Oreochromis niloticus: one gene and its partner. The protein of the gene in region 2 purifies or fractionates together with the protein of the main gene of each other region. This does not show direct contact. Links are inferred from orthologs where the notes say so. Each region holds a gene or a part of one and is shown on either strand. Other genes may lie near its edges. The genes, in order: fra10ac1 and ess2.

Evidence for each region.
Region 1: the proteins of ess2 (region 2) and fra10ac1 purify together in Homo sapiens (co-immunoprecipitation; 3 studies listed by BioGRID and IntAct, counting the BioPlex papers as one, with this or other methods). This does not show direct contact. The link is inferred for Oreochromis niloticus from reciprocal best matches to the Homo sapiens genes ESS2 and FRA10AC1.

Annotation. Positions count from the first base shown.
Region 1 is NC_031973.2:14,959,395-14,971,665, forward strand, and holds the start of fra10ac1 (protein FRA10AC1), read right to left. Parts: upstream 7,904-12,271; 5' UTR 7,825-7,903; coding exon 7,807-7,824; intron 5,666-7,806; coding exon 5,586-5,665; intron 5,340-5,585; coding exon 5,247-5,339; intron 5,022-5,246; coding exon 4,976-5,021; intron 4,804-4,975; coding exon 4,727-4,803; intron 4,538-4,726; coding exon 4,454-4,537; intron 4,307-4,453; coding exon 4,222-4,306; intron 2,412-4,221; coding exon 2,366-2,411; intron 1-2,365. Other genes in the region: lgi1b (leucine-rich glioma-inactivated protein 1b), read left to right, coding at 9,570-9,820, 9,913-9,984. UniProt on the Homo sapiens protein: May be involved in pre-mRNA splicing.
Region 2 is NC_031972.2:22,308,671-22,320,941, forward strand, and holds the start of ess2 (splicing factor ESS-2 homolog), read left to right. Parts: upstream 1-6,533; 5' UTR 6,534-6,786; coding exon 6,787-6,933; intron 6,934-11,062; coding exon 11,063-11,231; intron 11,232-11,353; coding exon 11,354-11,437; intron 11,438-12,271. Other genes in the region: homeobox protein goosecoid-2, read left to right, coding at 4,866-5,082, 5,164-5,399, 5,538-5,618. UniProt on the Homo sapiens protein: May be involved in pre-mRNA splicing.

The DNA of each region.
Region 1 (12,271 bases), on a different chromosome or scaffold from region 2:
AGAATGAAACCTTTTGGTACTGTGCACTCCTTGATCCAATATAACACTATAGCAATGAAAAGAAAGGTCAGTGTTCTTCGTGATCCAACCTTATTGGATGGAAACTAGTCAGCATTATCCACCAGCATGATCTGAAGTGCACAGAAAGCAGCGATGATAAGGGGATGGTTTCCAAAAAAGGTATTCATGCCAGAGCAAAAGTAAAACGTGGGCATCAGAGGTGGTACAAGATCAGTTTAATTGACAGGAAGCAGTACTACACACGAGCTCGGACTAGCAACACTTAGTCCAAGTGGAACTGCTTGTAATTGAACAATAAATCAAAAACGTTCACGTTGATGACTCGCCAACAGATTGTTGCCAAGATTCAAGTGTCTGTGATTGATGACACTCTATATCAGCTTACAAATCAAATCAAACTCCTGTTATACTCAATCCATGACAAAGACTTGCACCAGTGTATTCTTCACGTCTGAACGGGGGCGTCAGGCCCAACTTACAGAATTTATTTAGTATTGATTTCACTGGAGAGGGTTTAGAGTCCCATGCTCTAAACAGTACTTAAGGAGCATGTCTCTGGTAATTATTAATGTCCACAAATCACAGCTGAGGCAGCTAAAGTGCAGTGCATCTGACCTAATCTAATCCCACTTCCTGTAGAGTACTGCTACATGGCTTGAACTGTCAGAGTCCAAGATTACACCGTCTTAATCCGGAACAACATATTGGCTTAGTCAGCTTTCCCAGACACGCTGTTTGTGTGTTTATGAGGTTGTACTGGTATAAACATAATTATAATAATAATTTAAATGTTAAATGACTCTGCATATGTGTGTGTGTGTGTGTGTGTGTGTGTGTGTGTGTGTGTGTGTGTGTGTGTGTGTATGAGATTGTGTGTGTGTGTGAAGCTCACTTTATTAATGAGCTGTCAAGGCAGGCTCCCTTGCTGAGCAGCAGCTATTGTCCTTCCAGGTAAACTTATAAATACCACTGTCACACAAACGCAGCGGTAGACAGAGAGGTGTTGTACTAATCCTGAGCAATAATAGCAACAGTAATCATGGAACCACTGCCAAACTATCAAGCTAGTCCAGTGGTATCAGAAAGCTACAGTGTTGGGTATCAATGGACAGATTAATCCGTGGCTGCTTAAGATGGGAAGCCACAAGCAAACACGGAAAGAAAATTCAGATGAAAGGTCAAATCGTTTAAAGATTTATGACGCCATTCTGGAGAGCCATAAAGTCAAACCAAATTGCAGCAGGCATCTTTTTTTAAAGAGCCTGACATGTGGAGAGACTCCTGAGGGGAAGCACCAATCATAGGTGATGTACTGCTGTGTGACTTGTCTTTATCTCTGTCTCCATCTAGTGGAGAAGGTTGTGAGGTGTGGGTGAGAAAGCTATAATCCCACTTTACTATGGTTCACTGAGGTTCACTAAAATGTGAATTTAGAGCAGCACCGCAAGCAAAACACAAACAGAAATTAAAATATCCCGTTTTCCAACAGCTTTCTGAATCCGGACTTTATGTCAGCATTACATAGAATATTATGTAATAAGGATTCAGTTCCAGCCTCTTGATTAAATCGGATCTCTTTGCTCAACAAGTATGCTTTTTACTGCAATTTAAGATCACTTCTCCCCTTAGGGGTCATCACAGCAGATCATCTTCCTCCCTCCCCCCTATCACCACCACCCCCTGCATGTCCTACATGCTGCCTTTCCTGTCTTCCTCCCCTCACGCAACCAGTCGTGGCAGATGGCTTCCCCTCCCTCAGCCTGGTTCTGCTGGAGGTTTCTTCCTGTTAAGAGGGAGTGTTTCCCGTCCCACCGTCGCCTTGTTCAAAGGGGGTAGTCTGATTATTGGGGTTTATTATTAATATTGTGTATTACTGTATTATTGTAGGGTCTTTACCTTACAATATAAAGTACCTAATTTCTAATCTTGTCCATCCTGATCACTCCCATTTAAAAATATAAGCATCTCTAGCTTGGCTTCTTTCTCCCTCTCGTTCTTCCTTCTGTCACAAATTACCCCTGACACTCATCTCCACCCACTCCACCCTGTGAGCTCTGCATTATTTTGGATGGTTGACCCCAGGTAATTTATTCTACCTTCACTACCTTTGCTCCTTGCAGCATCATTGTTGCACCTGTCTCCTCCTCATTCACACACACACACACATCTATTCTGTGTTGCTTCAACTGCTTTGCATCCCTCCTCTCCCCAGAGCATACCTCCACCTCTCCAGGCTGTTTTCCAGCTTATTCTCTTCCTTATTCCCACTACAGATCAAACTGTAAGTGCTCGATACAGCAACATTAGCAGGAACATGCAAGCATATAACAGGTGTATGCCATACCTTTTCCAGAGACAACTTCATTCTCTGTCCGCCATCGAAATCCAAACTGTTGGGCACAGATTTTTTAAATGAGCATAAATGAGCAAAATCATATACACGAAACCGACTAATGCATCAGATCACTTTGTCATGCATATAGCCTGCAAGCCATAGCTGTGTTTGCCCCACCTTTTAATGCTTATTAGTTTTCAAAGGCAGTTGGATCAGAAAAAGAACTGATAATATAAGGACTGCATATATTTGTGTTTATTCACCCATGCACTCTTATTATTAAATGCTGTGCATGCACATTAACTTGTTCATGTAAACACATCTATAGTAAGTGGTGTCCTTTTGACCCGAAGTACTGCAACTCGCCCTTTATATTTTTATTCGTAGGCGTTCTAGAATAACTAGTGAATAAATCAGGTGCACAACCTTTTTAGTGTTTAGCGGCTTCGACTTTTTAAATTGAAATGTTTCAATTTACCTACAGTGCCTCCAATAAACATAGATAATACCAGGTATTCTGTATTGTGCTCCATGTCGGAGGTGTAAGCGTAAAAGAGATCTGTGCACAGAAAACTCATCAGCACAAATGCAGGAGATACTGAGCTGGGCCACACGTGTGCCACTTTTCATCAGTTTTAAACGTTGGCCTCGCTCCAAAAAGGCTCAGCGATCACTGGAGACAGAGCAGAGCGCCAGAACACATCATACCCCCAACTTCAGGCTAAAATGGGCTCGCTATTATGGAGATTAGTGAGACTTAGGTAATATTAACCTTTACACATGGCAACACCGCAGGGATAATTAGTGTAATCTTTTTTGGAATACTGGAGCAGGTCCTGGTAACGCTGATTGCTGAGGTGCCTACGGGCACCGTAATGTTATCTTATAGCACATGTAGGTGCGTAAGTGATAAATCGATTTCTAGGACTTAGAAATTGGTTCATTATGTTAGTAGTTTTGACTCTGTATACCACTAGCGTGGATTTGAAATCAAACAATCAAGATGCGACTGATCTGTAGACTTATTTTAATTGACAAAAAATGACATAAACCTATCAGAGGGACAGCAGAAAGTTTAGGAGTAGTGGACAGCTCAACAACACTAAAAAGCCTGAAAGACCCACAGAAGATGGCTTTGACAGTGCTTCACAGTACAAATGGATAATGACCCAAAGTATGGTGCAAAAGCACCCCGTGAGTTTCATCTGATCTCCACTCAATGCAGCATGTTTTTCAGTTTAATGAAGATAAAGCTGAACGCAGAGAGACTCACAAACAAGCAGCAACCCATGGAGGCTACAGTAAAAATAATTGCCCAAGTGTGTTACTAAGTCACGTTATAGGGGGCTAAACATGGGACCTCAGTAATGAGGATGGGCTCACTGATCACGAATTAAACTTTAGTACAAAACCACAAGCATTACCTTTTGGCAATAACTGACACATGTAGTTTACTAAAGTATAGTAAATGTGATGTGTGCTTAAGTTGTCAGACTGTAATTATAATCCATTCTTTGATATAATGCAATAAATAATACTACATAAGTCTACATAGGTAACATGAATATTACGCATGATTAGCCAACATCAACATTCACTTTCTATCAACTTTATACTAAAGTGTATTTAACTATAAATGTTTAATTTATTAAGAATGATATCATGAAGTGCTACCTTCATTCGAACCGTAATTTAAGGTTTTAATTCCTGCACCTTGTGTGAAACTGGCTTTTTTATATGACAATTTTTAAATGCTTTCAAATATTCAAAAATGCTATCATATCATACTACAGAAACTGCTTTATATAAGCTGTATTACTGTTTAAAAATTGGTAAGAAATCAATTATATTTCCATTTCTCTCACCTTGTTTTCCTTGTATCTGCTGAGGTCAGCTATGCAGTATTCTTTAAACAGCTTGTCATAATACTTTCTGGCCAATTCTTTTTCCCTGCAACAGAAAAAACCCCCACAAGCAACTAAGAAAATCAGCACACACATCATTAACTGACTTCTAGTGTAACATATAGACTTTTAAGAAGAGAACTGAACAGGTAAAAAACTAATTCATTATTACTGATGCCACTAAGTTGATCACCATGTCATGTCCTCCTCGTCCTCATCCCTCCAGAGAAAACGATGGTTTTCACGCAGCACGTCTAGATCTGTTTTGTCCTTGGCTCTACGGGGAATAAATGTAAAATGACAAAGTTTATGAGCGCGCAAAAACCGAAAAACAACTTCTGCAACTATCACTTTTAATGAAATGATTAACTGGATTGCAGTGATGTATAGACATATTGTCATTATTTTGCCTGGAGTGACAGCAGCTGACTGTTCCCCAGAGTTGACTGTGAGTAAGATTACTCACGCTGAGCGCTTGAAGTCAACCATCTGTCCTCCGTAGTACAGTATGTAATCACCGACAAACTTCTTGTGCCGCTCAAACTGGAGACATCTGCTTAAGGTCATTCTGTTGTTCAATGTTAACTTTTGCAACTGTAAACACAGCCTAAAATTTCCTACCGCATCACATTTTAATATCTTAAAAAGTTACGTTTCATCAGCCTCTTCATCGTCTACTCACAGCCGAAAGAAATGATAAATGAAGAAAGGATACAGCGTTCATCGATATCAGGTGGGCTCGTCTGTTCCGGGCTTCTTCTCTAAACAAAACAAAAAAATATAAATATAAGTGATGCATTTTTATCAAAAAAAGACAAAAAAACAAAACAAGATAATGTGTGATAGCTTGCAAAGAAAAAACAATCCACTGAGAGCATTTAATCAGATTGGCCCATAAGAAGTGACATTAACTGTAGTGTGCATCGGTAAAACGCGTGCAGCTAAAAACCATTAGCACTTCTTCGATCTGCTATTAGTCACCATACCTGTCCACTTCATTTGAGTGCGAGCTGCGGTGAGCCACCTTGGAGTGGCGACCTTTCTGAAACGGCTTCTGTAAGATTTCCTCCTCATGTTTCCTGTAGAAGGTACACATAATAGCAGAAAGCTTGTGTTAGTGGATGGAGATGTCTACCCACACCAGTGTAAATGTAAACTAGTGAAGAAAATGGATTAAAAACACTTGTGTTTACTCCTATTATCGTTTGTACAATCCCATCTCATTTGGTCAGCACAGATACAGTACCAGGAGTTCGGTTGAGCCAAATGTGAATAACGCGAAAAAGTATCAATTAGCCTACGTAATTCTTTAGCCTTCATTTGACCTTTTAAGGCCTCTCTGTGAGGACTCTCCCTGTCCATCTTCATCACTGAAGTCAGAGTCATAACCGCCGCCCCCATGAACCTGAGGAAACACAGGAAGTGATTTGTGAATCATATCTGATGATACATGTTGCACTTACCCACACACTTTCTGGCAAAATTAGGCATATTAGATAAAAATGCATGCGTACACTTGCACTGTACATCCTAACTGTGAGACATGTATTGCAACGTGTGACACGAATAGGGTAATGACTGATCTTATAGTAAACATGACACTATGTATTAACATCTGCTGCACACATATACATATATATATAAAACCATTAAAGGGTGCATTTCTGAATGAGGGAGGGCATTTTTGCATATTTCCTCTGATCAGTGCTTTCTCTGTCTGAAACAAAACAGACTCTCAGTCTCATCAGTTTAAGTCAACTTTCTTTTGATTGTCGATAAAGAAAGGGTTTAAACAGCAGCTGGATTGAGCTCCTATTTGCTTAAATCAACCATATTATATTATAGATGGCTCCTCACTTTCACACCATAGAGACCCAAAGGTGGGGGGAAAAAATAAAACAGAAACTCGGCTGCAGCAGTCTCACCTCATTCTTTCAAACATTAATCATGTTTAATACTGTAAGGGTATAAATATAACAGAAAAGAAAGAAAACGGGAAGCATAACAGGTCAGGTTTAAGTTAACTAGAACATATTCTATGCCTTTATAATTTGATCCAGGTCAATTTATTCTCGGGCCAAGCATTCCTTCATAAAAAGTGTCGACAAGTTTCCTGTCTGACGTGAATAAACAGAGAGTAGGAGAGTGATTTTATTGTTAGGTTTTAAGGTATTTACAATACTGCTTTTTGGAGAAAAGCATCTATTGTCACTGTTTTATATTTGTAGCACTTTGGTCAACATTGTTGGATGTAAAGTGCGTTATAAATAAAGATGCTATGCTATGCTATGCTAATTGTCCAATATACTTAAGACATGAAAACATAAAAACTAGAATGATCCCATTCTATTTTATTCCACAAGTGCCAGCCTCCGCTGGAAGTGGAGCAAATTTGGTGGGAACACAGACAGTTCTCACGTCTCATGAATGTTTCAAGCTTCCATAAAATCATCTCTTCATTTATTTAACCAACACTGGTTGATCTAAAAGTCCATCTTAATGGATATGGGATGAATTTGACCCAGTGTCTTGCCCCAAAAGTGATCGTCTGCTGAAAAAAATAATATCCGGTTGGCCTGTAATCTGTCAAACATGTCTGCACAGCTCGATGATATCAAGTCATTTCTACACAGAAATAACATTCCTGTGACAAGTAGAAGCTGCAATCAATATTTGGAAATGTAAATTTTATATAGCCTTTATTTATCCACGTGAAAAGTTTCCTTAACATTAAAAATGTGTTTGTCAAGAAAGATCCTGCCTTGGGTGTAGCAATAAAAGTGCAACAAATATAACAAAATACCTCTATAAAGACATTTAAAGTGGCCAGAACGGTCTGTATCGATAATACATAATGTTGAACAAAAGGTTGGTACAATAATGCAGTCATAAAAATACTTTCAAAACAGGTAATTTCTTTATGCTATATGTAACCCCTTCAGAAATCCTTTTGGCTGCAGCCTACTTATCAATATAAGCAACGATATTAGCCATAGAACAAACCCAGAAATCGGAAATTACATTTTAATGATGTAAAAGAAAAAAAAAATTGTGTAATTTATCTCTCAAAGTCACCAAATGTCTGGCTAAAAGAAGACAATTGGAGTAACTGTTACAACGAGAGACTATAGCAGCAGCTTTCCCTTACTCAGTGTGGCAGAGCAAGTGCTCAATGGTGGATGAAATAGTGAACAAAGTGAGATATTTTGGAGGTCCCGTCATCAGAAACGAGCTATGACACGGTAACAGGTGCACGACGACTCTGACTGCTGTGAATTTCACACAGGCACGCGCTTTAGCTCGTGCTTTGACCGCTTTGGACCTGTCACGCGCCACAGACACCGCTCATCCCTGACTGTAACCAGTGAAGCAGTCAGGAACCAACACGGCGTTAGCAGGCATCACCGACATACCTATCTGTGAGGGGAATAACGGGCTGCTAACAAATACGCGAACACGTCCTCACAGTCTTGTTTGCAAAAGAAGAGACGCGACTTTATCACATATATAAAAAGTTTACCTTTATCACATGTATAAAAAGTTTACCTTCACAAGATCATCCATGGCTTCTTTTTTTCCCCCTGCGAACTGCCGCTGACTGTTTACAAAATGTAATCGCCATGTGATGACGTAAGAAGTAAGTCGCGGTATGATGACGCAGACAGACATGAATTATATTTAGAAGAATCTGAGAAAGATTAAGAAATAAGTCCAAGAATAATTTATCATTTCCTCTTTTTTTTATGATATTAAAGCTTACATTGGTTTGTAGTCAGTAACTAGACTCTAAAGTCTAATTTTGTGTAAGTGTAATTGGCTGATAACAGTTTCTTTAATCGGGCATCTAATTATTTTCTAATTTATCAGTTCGTCCATCATCTAATTTATCTAATTACCCATTTATCAGGGGGCAAGTCAGCGTCACCAGGTGAAATGAATAATCTATTGGGGATGAAAGGGGGGTGCAGTACAACATCGAGCATCGACATTCATTTTAGAACAAATGGCCCAGTTACACGGATCAACCAGCAATTGATTCATATCGTTCACTTCCGCCGAGGGACACTGGAGGATGTATTTGAATTGTGGACTGAAAATAAAGAGGGCATTGTACCGTGTGAATGTTTTGAGTTTAATTCGGACTCGGGGTTATGAGATATGGTCGGGGTGAAAGGCTGACACAGCCAGTCCGGGAACAAAAATGCAGTGTTCCCTGACTTCCCATGTAACCCACCGAACCCATCAAAGGACCTCATCTGGGAAAGAAACGGCACAGCTCTCATCATTTATTACTGAAAAAATATGTCGTCCTATTAGCTATTTAACCACACATATTCATCCATTTGGATAAACAACATAAAAGGCTTTTTACATACATGTCAGGCAAACACATCTGTTTTTAATAAGGATTTAAAACGAGTTTAAAAACCACGCAATCCAAACGGATGGAAATTTTTATTTGAAAATATTTTATTCATGAAACCCTATGATATGTTTCCCCGTGTATGCTATTCCACGACATTCATTTTAATGAACATAATATAAAACACTGCTCTACATTTTTTTTCCCCTGTGTAATGATAGTCTGGAGATCAGACTTTACCAGCCATTTCTTATGCACCAATATCTGATTGAGTAGTCTTTTTGATGTATTTTTAACCGTATATTATGCCCGTCGTCTTTTCACATTTAATGTCATTATTATGCCAGAGAAGGGAAGAAAAGAGGCAGCATTTGAATGAGTGGGGCAGGTGCATTTGCACAGAGAGCCTCATGAATAGCTGCTCCCCCATTAGCCATGCACGGCTCTGAAGCGCGCATAAATAATAGCTGGCACCGCTGATAAAATAGCGCACCTTGGGGCCTCTCTCACCCTCTCCCCCCTCCATCTCTCTTTCTTTCTTTCGTTCTTTCTTCCGCTCGCTTTCTCTCTCTAAGGGCATCTTCTTCTTCTTCTTTTTTTGTCTTTTCTTTTAGCACAGCCTTTAGGCTACGGGACAACTCCAAAAAGCCTGATTTTTAGCCTTGCCTTTTACTTAGGCATGACAAAAATCTGAGATGTTTTCTGCTATTATGTCCCATCTGCCCCGCATTTGTAATCCTGCCCCTTGCAGAACAAATCCACTGGACTGGTGCCTTCCTATTGAGACGCTAGAAGCATAGAAGACTGCCTCAGAGCGCTCTATCATTAAAAGCAAACAAGACAGAGGACCTCGGCTTTAAAAAGCAAAACGATCAAACAAACTGAAAGCGTCAAATTAATATTTCCCGATTGGCTTTACACGTCGCAGATTTTGCTTGTAAGTTGCATGTGCGTGAGTGGAAGTACTCGGCTCGGGACAGAAGGAATGGGATACCCGAGCAGAGCAGTGAGGGGATGGAGAAGACGGAAAGGATGGACGTTCTTGGTTTGGGTCGTTGTTGTCAGCTTGGCTTTAGCTGACGGACGGAGAGTGAGGCAGCCCAGATGCCCCCACGGATGCACCTGCACAAAAGATAATGCACTGTGTGAGAGTGTCCGATCTGTGCCCCACACTTTCCCATCCGACGTCGTTTCACTGTAAGTGATGCTGCATGAAGTGGTGAAGTGTCAGAAAGCTGATTACATTCTGTGTCATATTTGCACTTTGATTTGTTTCTCCTTTTAATCAGATCTTTTGTCAAGTCTGGATTTAATGAAATTACTGGAGGAAGCTTTGCGCACACACCTACCCTACACCTGCTGTGAGTAATAGCTTTTAATCTATCTATTTATCTACGCATCTATCAATCTATCTGTTTGTGTATCTGTCAATCTGTCTGCCTATTTATCTATCTGTCCATTTATAATTTATGTCTGTCTGTCTGTCTCACTGCTTCCTTGATTTAAAAGTAAGGTTGTGTCTTAACAGGCGACTTGCACACAGGTTTAGACTCAGCTTTAAAGGGGGATTCTCTGTAATGGTGTCTGGATTATGCAATAGACCACATGGCTACAGCAACTAACAGCAAGAGGAACAGTGTGTGTGTGTGTGTGTGTGTCTTCCCTAGAAACAGGGTGGCTGAGATAAACAATGAGCATGTTCTCTAATTCTCCTGAAGAATTCAGCCCTAAGCTGTAGTCAAATAACAGGCTTGCACACGAGTGTTCACCTTCTCTTAACAGTGCTGTTGATTAATGGCCTTCATTATTTAGTATCTTGACAGGACTTGAGCCTATTGAGCAAATGCGTTCTTGCAAATCCGCAAATTAACAGCAAGGTCAGACTTAACTGTACTCTACGCCGCACATAATAACATGCTGTCAAGCGTCAGTCTAGCTTTCCTGGCACCGGTTCCTTCATTCTCTCAGATGACAGTGAAGTCAAGGCTAAATGTGCATGAAGCCTCAAATGTAGGAGGACGTAGCATCACGTATCTGAAGACTGAGCTTGTGACCGTTAGGAGGGAGGTAACTGAAGATGAGTGAATAAGTGCACTGCCTCATCTGTTATTATTCCCTGCAAAGGTGACTTGAAGCATCTTAACCTCCATTAAGGCATGCTTGATCAGTGGCATTTTTTTGTAGTCTGCATTAGCCAAATGTCAGGGTCACTGGCTTCCTCATTTTAAAAACTTTAACATCTTAGGATTGTAATATTTCAAGCTTGATATAATAAATAATATTGATGGTACTTTTGTTCAATATTTAAAAGAATAGAGCCACTCTGTACAGTAACCAAATGCCAGCTTAATAATAAACGAAAACCCTTAATAATCTGGTGGAGATGAGGTGTACAATATGTTGCCGATGGACACGATTCTTATGTTAGTTATTTAAAAAGTGACTCAGAAACAAGTGGGAGGGAGGGGGGGGGGGTAAGAATATTGATTCTTTGCCATTTCTTATGAGAAATATGTAGGAGTGAGTGGCTGTTTCTCTGTTTAATCTGAGTCATTCATTGACCACATACACAGTGGGTAGAAATGTTGAATGAGTCTGTTGTCTATTACAGTATCCCAGTCCCCCATCCAGTTTCTCTGCTTTTTGCAATAGACTTACTGCCACTGACATTACGTAAACATCCATGACCACATTTTCTTATTGTTCACAGCCCACACAAATCAATATCTTCTTGAAGTTCATCTCAGTTAAGTTGTAAAACACAAACAACCAGCTGTTAAGAAAAATCTATGTACAGTTGCTTTAAATATGGCAATTTGCATTAGTCTAAACGCTTCCATCCTTTATATTTTGCTTCCAAAGAACCAGACTTTATCTAATATCTTTATAATTTTTAAAGTGGTCTTCAGCAACAGTTTTCCAGGCTTTCTGAAGACCTTTCAAAAGTTTACGTTGGACATTGGCTGCTTTTTCACTCATTTTCAATCCAGTTGTTCTACCTGACCATTTTCAGAGGAATGTTTCTTTTGTTGTTGAGCTACTTTTAAATTGCATTTTAGGCACTGTTATACTAGCCTGCCACAAAAGTGCATAATTTGTTTCCTTTTCTTTAGTTGAATCTATGAAAAATGCCAAAGATAACACTGTTTGACAGGCATAAAATAATATTTTTGATCCAGCAAAGAGCTATTAGCTGAAAACTTGGCATATCTCAGCAAACTGTGCAGTGTGTCCTTTACGTAACTGAGGAAAGTGGACAACAAAAGTACAAGTACAAAAGCACAAGGCAACCCCCCCCCCCAAAAAAAGTAGATGAATAGTGTCTGAAAGTTATGTCAAAAAAAGGAAGAAATTCAGCGAAGACCTGAAAAATGCATCTGGCCCTTCAGTTGATCCCTCTACTGTTCACTGAAGCCTCATCAGAAATGTCATCAGTGGAAGGGTGGCTGTCAAGAGCATTTCATAGGGAAACAGAAAAAGGTTCAGGTATGCCAAATTACACAAGAAATGGACTGAAAATCCGCAGCGATCCGTGTTATGGAGTGATGGATCTAAATTTGAAATATTTCATTCATCTCTATTCATGTATGGAGGAGGTCAGGAGAGAGGTACAATGTGAGTGTTTGAAACTGTCTGTAAAAGACTGTC
Region 2 (12,271 bases):
TTAGTTTGTTGGGATCTAATCACCTAATATTTTATTAATTAAAGACACATTTCATTCATTATTTAATGATGTACTTACTTAAGTTATTTTGGCACCCTAGGCTTTCCATAATGTTATCACCATACTGAGGCATCTCTACAGGTTAACCTGTGATTGGGGGTCTCAAGTAGACTGTTTCATTTTTAGGAGTCAAAAAGGTCAAAAAGGTAAGGAAACCCTGGCATATAACCTACAGGATTTCTGCATTTATTACTGAACGTTGTCAGATCTTCATCTAAGTCACAGTTATAGACAAACACAATCAATAATGCAGTCAGTGCTTTTATTTTCCTGTCTTTATTGAGTACACAAGTAATCAGTTAAGGTGCAGGGCTGAAAAAAATATATTAAGTGAACCAAAACCCTCGTGCTACAGATTTCTCCAACTGCTGAAGTCAGGTGTCCCAAATGTAAGAGGTGAAACTAGAAGTGTGGACTGGAGGGGCGTCCCTCCCCCTAAATGAACGCACACAGAGTATGGTTGAATTCAAGTGCACATCTAACACAACAGTTTTCACAGGTCCTCAGAAGTGACTGGAAAAAGCTTGAAAAGGCCTTTTAAGGGCCTGTGTCGATCAATCCGCAGTGAAGTGTGCACTCCTTTAAAAAAAAGTTTTTTTAAAAAGGTGATAAAGAGCAGAACATCTGCACAAACCTCTTGAAGTCTTTGTTTATGTGTGCATTTGAGCTGTCAATGAAATGAAATGAAAATGATACAAATCTAATCTTTAATTTGTTTAATGTGTTTCTTGTCTGTTTAGCTGTTATTTATTTTTTGGGAAAATGAATAAAATTTAAAATCTGAGTGTGAAGAGGAAGAGAGGCTCTATAACCTGAGCTGCAGAATGAAAAAAGCACACCAAAAAAAGAAATTGCGCAATTTTTCACTGTTACTCCCATTTTGATTCCATCTTTTTCTTGCAAGCTCAGTCTTGCAGCATGATTTTGAAGCAAAACAAACTAAACACCAGATCCCACTTCAGGTCCTTGGGGGGAAATAATATTTTTTTTTAAAAACACAATAAAGAAAAACATTGTGCAATGCAATAAAAAAATACTTTATGCAACAATGGGGTGGCACTCCAGATTCCTACTCCCTGTTGGTGCATAATATCTAACATGTCTACAGTTTTTTTTCTGCACAAGTTCAGGAGGAAACAGAAAGAGTAGGAGGGTATGATCCCCCGGTCACCCTGATTCAGTCTCTGTTTCTGCAGGAGGTATCGGGCCCGGGTCCAAACACCAAGCAGAGAAGCTGAGCATTTTCACACGTGAGCGTTCTGCTGCCTTGCACAGCTCCGTGCTCGTTTATCAACAGTCCGTGTGTGGGTGTATTTATAATCCAGTGTCTCCTGTCTGATGTGCACTGATTTGATTTGTGTCCTTTAATCTTCTCATTTTTTCCGCCCACGCGCTTTCTGTCTGAATAGCCATTTAAAATATCAGATCGTGACACGTAACCCTAAAGAGCGCACACACTCAAAAGCATCCAAGCAAATCACCATTCTGTGTGGCAACTAATATTTTCCAGGCTCTGTCTTCCAAATGCAGTGTCACACTACAAAAAAGGCAGAGAAGTTATTACAATGATTACAGTGTCTCATTCAGCCTCCGCCTCATTTAGTTTATTTATTCAGTCTTCTCATAAAACACAGACAGTGTCTTCTTCTTCTCTTCTTTCAGCTTCTCCCTTTAGGGTTCACAGGGTTCATCTGCCTCCATCTCACCATCTCCCCAGCGTCCTCCTCTGTCACACCAACCCTCTGCACTTCCTGCTTCACTACATCCATGAATCTTCTCTATGGTTTTTCTCTTTTCCTCCTGCCTAGCAGCTTCATCTTCAAAACCCTTTGTCCTTTACATCCACTATCCCTCCTCTCCAAATGTCCAAACCATCTCAACCTTGCCTCTATAACTCCCATTGACAATCTTAGCATCCAGCTCTTCCACCTTCAGATCCACCTCCTGTCTTACTGTTAGTGCCATCGTCTCTGAACCATGCATCACAGGAGGTCTCACTATTGTCTAGTCATCCTCTCATTATTGCTGCTATCCTTCTGTCACAAATCACCCCTAACACTCGTCTCCTCTCAGTCCACCCTCCTGCACTCTCTTCTTCACCTCTGTTGTGCTCTGTCCACTGGTTTGGATGACTGAGCCCAGGTACAGCCTGATATTTCACCTTCACCACCTCTCCTCCTTGCATCTTCACTGTTACACTCATCTTCCTCTCACTGACACACATATTCTGTTTTGCTTCTTCACCTTAACTCTCTTCACTTTTTTTGTGTATTTCCATCTCTGTCCTTAATCACCCTGACCATCAGTTCAATCTCTCACGAGTCCTTTTCTCCTTCCTTAGCGTCCAGCCTCAAATATAACTCATTAAAAGCCTTTTTCTTGTCTCTTTGCTGCTATACGCCTAGCCTCCTGGTACCCCTGCCTCCTCTCTTCATCTCTTCGATTATCCCACTTTTTCTTTGCCAACTTCTTCCTTTAAATACTTTCCTGTATTTTCACAACCCAGTCTCTTGCTTTTCTGCCCAGAGGATACAGCAAAAGCCTTCTTGCCTGTTTCCTTCAGTACTTTAACAGTTATCTGTTGTCTGCACAACATTCTACTTTTTTCAACCTCCACTGTTTAATCCTTGCCTCTGCTTTCACTTGCTTCCTCTTTTTGATTTCCAAAGCCATCCTACAGACTACTATCTGATGCTGTGTAGATACATCCTCCCCGGACTTGCACCTTCTGCACTGGAGATAGTCAACCTGTCCACCTGTGTATCCTGTTCCACTCTGCGTCACTCCTCACAGGCTTTTTGCATCTACCTTTCTTCTTTCAATCACATGAGCCATATTACCCTTTCCCAGTCATAGTCTTCACATTTAAAGATTATACTGTCAGCTCCACACGTCTGCATTTCCTTATTTGCCTACTTTGTTTTGAGGAAACAGTTGCATAGCTTCCCTCGTCACTCCCTATCTTTTCTAACTTATTCAATACTGAAACCTTATTGATCCAAATGAATTGAAAAGAGGTTTTACATCAGATGCTTTCTGACAAAAACCTCATCATTTATCTGAGCTAGGGAGCCACACTAGGAGTACACTGGCATGCCCTGTCATTTTAAATTAAACCCCCACAATACAACACAGTAAGAAATCAAAGTATAAATGATCCATAAGATGACGATGCTCATTTTAAACATAGCCCAAAATGATATGAGGGATAGCAGATATGATCAATATGATCATTTGGGGCAAACAGAAACCCATCTGGTGTTTAAACCTTCTGTTCACGAGGGGCAGCCAATCAGAAGAACGTTGACAGAGGTGCTGTCCATTTTAAGGTAAAAATGATTATTTTGAACAGTTATTCATTCACAGCTACCTTCTAATACCATACCACTTATTTATAAAGCACTTTTAAAAATGCATTGTACAATTCATGTGATTTTCATTGTAATAAATCCCAGCATATCAAGAAAGACTTTTCCTTAAGACAAAGAGTTTTATACTATTTTTGAGTCTCCTAAAAATGCAGAAAAGAATTCATCTGCCACCCGTCAGCTGTGGTTCTTTTCTCTTTTACTCCTTGTACCAAATATTGCTTACAACGATAAAATGGATCTTTATTGTTGTAATCCCCTGTAATGAATTTTGAACTGTTTGAACCAACATGGATATGGTACAATTCCTTCTATTGAGAACCACAATAACTGCAGATAGGGATCTCACTTTCTCCGCAAACTATACATCAACAATCTGGATGCTATTAAACCCGAGTGAAAAGGATGAGATGGTGTTTATTGTTATCTGTTTTCAAAAAGCGCTTATAAAGGGAGCTTAGAACAGATTGTGGAAATCCATTAATTCTTTGGGAGGGGGGAAAAAAAGGTGTATTGCCTTGTATGAAATCACAGGATTTGTCGGGGTTGGAGGTGGTGGTGGGGGGGCTGAATTTAACCTGTAATAGCTTTACCTCAGCCGTGCACATTGTCAGAAAAGTCAGACTGAAAAGACTGCAGCACAAAGATAAGACACATGATGCACGATCGTGAATACAAACCACTGGGATGGATCCATTTCTCCGAATTTTCTCTCGCTGTGTGCAAACATACAGATCCATCAGTGTCACCATACATAACTGACACGGGCCAAATGAGTCACCCCGTCATCTGCAGCTCCCTAATCACTTTGTAATCACTTTAAGTGTGCATTGTTGTTGACAGTGTAGCCGCAGCTTATGTAAATAAATATACCAATTTATGCAGGATCGTTTGTTGACAGAGCTAAACGCGGAAGCGACATTATGAAGTGAATTTGAAGAACTAATCCTCAGATTCAGCATACACAAGTCTGTGGCCACACCAAGAACGCTCATCTTTAAATCCAGGTTTCTAATACCAAGAAATCCCCTTTCCTCTAAAACCTTAACAATAAGGATCTTAGGAGCTCTCCACTTCTCATTTTATGCAGTGAAATCTGATTTCTTTTGAAGAAAGGAATGAGGCAAGATTAACTGAATCTGCCGTCCTCCCTAACCTCTTCACAAAACTGCCCAGATTAGCAAGGAATTAGGTTTCAACCGTTTTTATGTGACTGGTCCATAGGGGGGGATTATAGTTTTACTTTTTTTTTTCTTTTTTTTGGCCTCCCAATTTCACTATAAGGGCTTGACACGCTCCTGTAGAGAGAAGAAGGAGAAGGAGAAGAGCAACTGAGGCTCGAAGAGTGCTCTGTGTGTGTGTGTCACAATATCCTGTGATCACCACTGCTTTTGAGCTTTCACTGGAACTTCTTTGGAGGTGGAAGGACTGATCAGGATGGAGAGGCAGAAGTTTCCCTTTACTATTGAGAACATCCTGAAGTATCCAAGCAGCAGTGGAGATAAACGGTCCTACGGAGCGAGTGGTCTTGGCTTAAAAGAGAAGACGGTGAGTCCTGCTGGAGGCCAAACAGAGGCGGTTCATCATGCCTGCCTGTGCTGCTGCTACTGCTCCCACTGTGCTGACATACTCCAGCCTGACTTCATCCACGAAGGTAGGACCACACCTTCTGCTTTTGTCTGTGGTTGAGCTTGATTCTGCTCCCCCAACCTTAAATCAGACCCCCTCCCTGCAGCTTGTCAGTATGGCTGGAACCCAGCAATCCTCTCAGATTCGTGCAGGCTGGGAGACACTCACAGGGAGGAGCAGTCACCCACTCAGCTGCAGAGGCGAACCCGGCGTCACCGGACCATTTTCACCGAGGAACAGCTGGATGCACTGGAGGAGCTGTTCCTGCAGAACCAGTACCCAGACGTGAACACAAGAGAGAAACTCGCACAGCGCACTCACTTAAGAGAAGAGAGAGTGGAGGTAACACAGCAGCATCACATAATTGTTTTTATTAAATATGATGGTATGCTAATAATGTAAATGTGAATAAAAACTGTTGTAGATACTGAATTTAATAAAATGACAGCTCAACAATGTTGCCTCTTTTCTGTCAATCAGGTTTGGTTTAAAAACAGAAGAGCCAAGTGGAGACGTCAGAAAAGACTTTCATTTGTTGTGGGAAACACAGAAAAAAACTAAAAAAAAAAAGTTTGCATGGCTCTGTGTGATCCAATCAAAATAATTTGCATATATGTAACATATAATTCTTATATGTAACCATACATGTAAAATCCTGGCATGTATTGACACTATTACTGTAAGTAAAACCTTGAATTTGTAAATGGGTTGTTGTAGTTTGCACAGACTGTTAAAAAAGTGTCCTTGAGAAAAAATACAGTTGTCGGGGGTTTTTTTAAGAAAAGAATAAATGCCTTTTTTGGGCCACCCATAGAAAACGCACCTAACTTTTTTTTTTTTTTTTAACCCAATTTGAATAGAATTTTAAAGCCTAACTTTATCAATTTCTTTAGCATTTCTTTGTCAAACAAGCGACCAGGGAGTCAGAACTAGCCCGCCAAAGAGTCCAGCATGGCTCAGTGAATGGTTTGCTATATCTGAAAATTACAATGAAGTCATTAATATGTTTAATATGTCTAATATCAATTTTCCCACAAAATGTTGTTCGTTTCTGGTGATGACAGGCATGAAAATGTTTCAAAAGTTTAAATTACTTCTGACTAATTGTTTACACTGTAAATAAATATATAAAAAATTATTAAACTGTTAGGCACTAAAAACTCCACATGTGAAGGTCTTGTAAAGCCACTGTGAGACAGGACACTATAGTTTGTCTTCTGTACTGTAAATGGAGCGTAAGTCTATAAAGCCTTTTTAAAAAATTATATATATAAATATATATATATATATATATATAGATAGATAGATATAGATATATATATATAGATATATATAGAGAGAGATATATAGATATAGATATAGATATATAATTTATATATTATATATAATTTTTTATTATTTATTTATTTATTTATTTATTTAAGTTGAGGTCTGCGAACTATCAAACCGCTTTCAAGGTTTATTTTGGAAAATTCTAGAGAAGTCGTAAATTTCCGGTGACGTAATCATTCGGGCTGTGCGTTGTTTGTACGCTGGTGGCTAAAAGTCAGCTTATGTGTTATAGTTGGTGGCGTTGGGCATTTTTAAGTGTCGGGTTTTTACGTTGTTGGTTAACTTTTTAAACGGTGTTAATCCACTGAAAGAAACATCCTCTAATAGCTTAATTTTCGTCGCTATTTGTAGTAGAAGATTATTTAGCCATCCGGCTAGGAGGCTAACAGGGTCCACAATGGAGGGCAGCGCCAGCGTGAGGAAAGCACTGTCCGGGACTCTCGTCCCTTTGGCGATCTCAACAGTGGCTCTTCAACAGCAACCAGAGGATAAGGATAAGGGAACACTGAAGAGAAAAGTCCTGGATGAGGAGGACTACATTGAGGTAAATAATAGCAGACATAGACAGGCACGACTGTTAGCTAACAACTGTAAGTTAGCAGGCAGGTAATGTACAACACAGCTAAATTTCTTTAGACTAAAGACTTTATTGTACTAGTCTGGACAGACATAGAAGTGTATAACAGCTCCAAATATTATGCAGTCAGTGTGGAAAAAGTGTTTACATATAAAATCTACATATAGGTTTAAAGTAAGATGCTTGTTACGACAGTACTTCACGATATGAAAGTGCAATAGCAAATTGCTCAAGTAAGGATTAAGTTACTAAAGTTACATGAATGCCATGGTAATGGCATGCATATACCCCGAAAATATTTGGTTAAATATTGTTTAACAAGTTGCACCACGACGAGACACTTAAGTAGCTATCAAAAAGCCCTAAATAAATCTAGCTGGATATTGGATCACTCTTCTTAGAAGAATTGTTAGAGTTCATTTAAACTGATTTGGTTCCTGGCACAGACGTGGCTTTAAGCGTAGTCCACAAGTTTTACAAATTTTCTTGTGTTGGAGCACACAGCCCATTGCCACAATGCCTCCAGAGGGTCTTTTAATAATGCTACTGTTTCACACAGTGGGGCAGTCAGACCGCAGGGTCTCTTGATGGGACCTAGATGGCCATCAAGGATCTGGTTCTCCACACTCCTCAGTCTGGTGAGTGGGGTCCTGTGTGTCTGTATACTGAGGCAACTCAGAGTTTAAGCTCAGAGCAGGGCTATATATGTTATATTGGGAAGAAAAAGGGAACAGCTCTGCCCAAACAGAGCTTTCCCACCGGATTGTTGACACAGTAAAACAGACGTACAAATAGTCTCTTCAGATATTAGTTGTCACACTACCAGGAACATTGCCTGGGCAGTAATTCGAGGTGTTCCATGAGGGGAAATCTGTGCAGCAGAATCCTGGGCAGTGCCTTACACGTTTGCTAAAGTCACCTGACTTAATCCGGTCTCAGGACCCACTCGAGCTTCAACTATTCTGCCATTGGCTGACCAGCAAGTTTTTCCTCATGACACTGCTAGTATAAGTCATCTTCATTGTTTACTGCAACTTCTGTAGGCAGGAGGGAAAGAAACCTAATTAAAGTTACAAAAGTTACCACAGTTCTGTGAACTCCCAGATAACTGCCAGTCATGCAGTTCACTTGGAGAATCTCAGTGCAAGAACATTTATAGAGATCAGATGTAGGGTACCGGGGGGTACTTATAGTGTACACGCGTAGGTAGCCTACAGGTCACACAGTTGACTTTGTTTATATGTTTATATGAAATCTCAACCAAGAAGACATAGCTGCATTGTTTATTGTCACTGGCAGTCTTCTGGGAATTCACAGAACCATAATTACCTTCGTAACTTCTGTTTGGAAACCTCACCTTTAGTCCTCCAAACGTAACTCTTGACATTATGGCCAGTTAGCTCAAACTTTGTCACTTCTGACCATAAAACCTTTCTCCAGAAGGCATTTGGCTTCTCCATGTGGGCAGCAACAAATTTAAGTCGAGTTTTTAAAGGTATCGATTTTAGAGCAGGGGCTTCTTTCTTGGTCAGCACCCACTTGGTCCACAGTGAACGGTAAAACTTTTTTTTTTTTTTTTTCTTCAGCAGTTTTCAGTTCATGGCTGGTTTTATGCCTTGGTGGTTACAGGGTTGTTCCTGAACAGCCTAACCAATTTCCTGTCATCTGAGGTTGACAGTTTGGATTTTTTCTCAAGACCTCGGCAAAGTGGTGACACATCTGTTAATCTTTTAGAATAGAATAGAATAATCCTTTAATTGTCCCACAAGGGGAAATTTGGTTGTATCAGCAGCAAAAAAAAACACGCATATACAAACAGAACAGGACACACAGAACCGAAGCACAATTTTTACATATTTACATCATGGACAATAGTTACCAGAGCAGAGTACAGTACAGTTGTTTAAATTAGCGTACACATAGTGTGCAAACATAGCAGGATACTGAAAGATGTTTAAATAGTTAAGAATATTTAGAATAATTAGAAAAGTGCAGATTGTTTATTGTACCCGTGCATTAAAAAGTAAACATGTAACTTTCAATAAGTTAGTGTATATATAAGCTGAGAAAAGTAATGTGCAGTTATAACAGTAAAAGTTGTTACAGCGCTGATGTAAACATCTGCGTTTGTTGGGAGCAGTTCTGATTGTACAGTCTGACAGCTGCAGGGAGGAAGGACCTGCGGAAACGCTCCTTCATGCATCTAGGATGCAGCAGTCTGTCACTGAAGCAGCTCTGCAGTTCAGCAACGTTTACATGCATGGGGTGGGAGACTCTGTCCATCAGAGATGTTATTTTGGCCAGAGTCCTTCTGTCTCCCACCACCTGCACTGGGTCCAGGGTGCATCCCAGAACAGAGCTGGCCTTCCTGATGAGTTTGTCCAACCTCTTCCTCTCAGCTGCCGATAAACCGCTGCTCCAACATACCACACTGTAAAAAATGACAGATGCCACCACAGAGTCATAGAACGTCTTTAAAAGCGCTCCCTGGACTCCAAATGACCTCAGCCGCCTCAGCAGGTAGAGTCTGCGCTGACCCTTCCTGTAAAGAGCATCAGTGTTGTGGCTCCAGTCCAGTTTATTATTCAGGTGAACACCCAGGTACCTATAAGAGTCCACTATCTCAATGTCCACTCCCTGGATGTTCACCGGTGTCAGTGTGGTGGGTCTGCGTCTCCGGAAGTCCACCACCAACTCCTTGGTTTTCCCGGCGTTGATCAGCAGGTGGTTCTGCTGACACCAGTCCACAAAGTCCAGAGTCCACTGTCTGTACTCTGAGTCGTCCTCACCTGTGATGAGGCCGACTATGGCAGAGTCGTCAGAGAACTTCTGTAGGTGGCAGCGTGGGGAGTTGATGGAGAAGTCTGCAGTGTAGAGGGTGAAGAGGAACGGTGCCAGCACAGTTCCCTGTGGGGCCCCCGTACTGCAGACCAGCGTGTCAGAGACACAGCCCTGTGACCTCACATACTGTGGACGTTCTGTGAGGTAGTCCAGTATCCACTGGGACATGTGGTGGTCCACTCCTGATAGCTCCAGCTTGTCTCTCAGAAGTCGTGGCTGGATGGTGTTGAAAGCACTGGAGAAATCAAAGAACATGATCCTCACAGTGCTTCCAGGTTTCTCCAGGTGAGTCAGAGCTCGGTGCAGGAGGTAGATGATGGCGTCCTCCACCCCGATGCCAGGCTGGTAAGCAAACTGCAGCGGATCCAATGAAGACCTCACCAGGGAGCGCAGATGGTTTAGAACCAACCTCTCGAGGGTCTTCATCAGATGCGATGTCAGGGCTACCGGCCTGTAGCTGCTGAGGTCCTTGGAATGGGAGGTCTTTGGTACCGGTACCACACAGGAGGTCTTCCACAGCTGTGGTACTTTCCCCAGTGACAGGCTCAGGTTGAACAGATAAACTAGGATGTCACACAGTTCATCTGCGCAGCATCTCAGGAGCCTGGAGCTGACGCCATCATTTTACATACAGTTATTTCAACTGATGATCTTGTAATTTGCAGTTGTTTAGATATGGCTTCAAGAGATCTTCCCAACTTGTGTAAATCTAAAATTCTCATTCTTAGATCTTCATTGGGTTCATTGGACCTTCCCATTGTTCTGAGTATTGGTCAATCCACTGACTACAGTCAAACAAATCCTTTCTATGCTGGCGAAGAGAAAATACCAGTTGTAGTCAGTCGTGATCAGTTACACAAGGTTTTGTCCTTGCCGTGTCCTTGCCCTTGTTTTGGCTTTGTTAAACCTTTAGCAATACTCAAACGATTTAAGTCAGTGTGTATATATTGAACCTGTATACATAAATGTAACCCTGTTTGGATTAGAGAAAATCTAAAGTGAATTCAAATGTGTACACTCTTGTTTTGTTGTTGTTGTTGTTTTTTTAATTCATTAAAGATGTATACTGTACAGTAATTGCACCATGGAAATAAACTATTCAAAGAAACAATTAAGACTAAAATTACCATGACATCCATGCCCATGATGAGTGTACGTAAACATCTGAACACATCTCTATGTGCCATAAGCCCATATTTCCTGGTAATATGTCCTCTGTATTAACCTTCTGCCTGTGTTTGGTTTTTGTTGACAGAGCTTAGAGAAAATTATCCAGAGGGACTTTTTCCCAGATGTGACAAAGCTGCAGGCACAGAAGGAATATCTTGAAGCAGAGGAAAATGGAGACCTGGAGAGGATGAGAGAAATTTCCATCCGATATGGATCTTCGTTGACAAAATCTACACCACAGTCTTCTGCACCATGTGAGTGAAGTGGAATTAAATAAGACATTTTGTGTTCTCCAAGTAAAATACTGATAAAATACTTGAATTCAACAGGTGTTTTTTCTCATTGAAATTTTTTCTTTCTCTTCTGTTTGTGTAAGATGTGACGCCTGCTAGCTTTGAAACACCAGTGGGCCGGTCGGGATCCCCTGCTTCCACTTATTCTGCTAAAGCTGTAGATGGAGGTAAGTAAGCAGGGTGATGAACACATAACGTCATGCAATAAATATGTAATTTGTTAAAGCTTCACATCCACGTCTCGCTGTTAATCCCTCTTTTGACATTTACAGTGGGGCAAAAAAGTATTTAGTCAACCACCGATTGTGCAAGTGCCCCCACCTAAAATGATGACAGAGGCCAGTAATTTGCACCAGAGGTACACGTCAACTGTGAGAGACAGAATGTGAAAAAAAAATCCATGAATACACATGGTAGGATTTGTAAAGAATTTATTCGTAAATCAGGGTGGCAAATAAGTATTTGGTCAATAACCAAAATACAACTCAATACTTTGTAACATAACCTTTGTTGGCAATAACAGAGGTCAAACGTTTACTATAGGTCTTTACCAGGTTTGCACACACAGTAGCTGGTATTTTGGCCCATTCCTCCATGCAGATCTTCTCGAGAGCAGTGATGTTTTGGGGCTGTCGCCGAGCAACACGGACTTTCAACTCCCGCCACAGATTTTCTATGGGGTTGAGGTCTGGAGACTGGCTAGGCCACTCCAGGACTTTCAAATGCTTCTTACGGAGCCACTCCTTTGTTGCCCGGGCAGTGTGTTTTGGATCATTGTCATGTTGGAAGACCCAGCCGCGTTTCATCTTCAAAGTTCTCACTGATGGAAGGAGGTTTTGGCTCAAAATCTCACGATACATGGCCCCATTCATTCTGTCCTTAACACGGATCAGTCGTCCTGTCCCCTTGGCAGAAAAACAGCCCCATAGCATGATGTTTCCACCCCCATGCTTCACAGTAGGTATGGTGTTCTTGGGATGCAACTCAGTATTCTTCGTCCT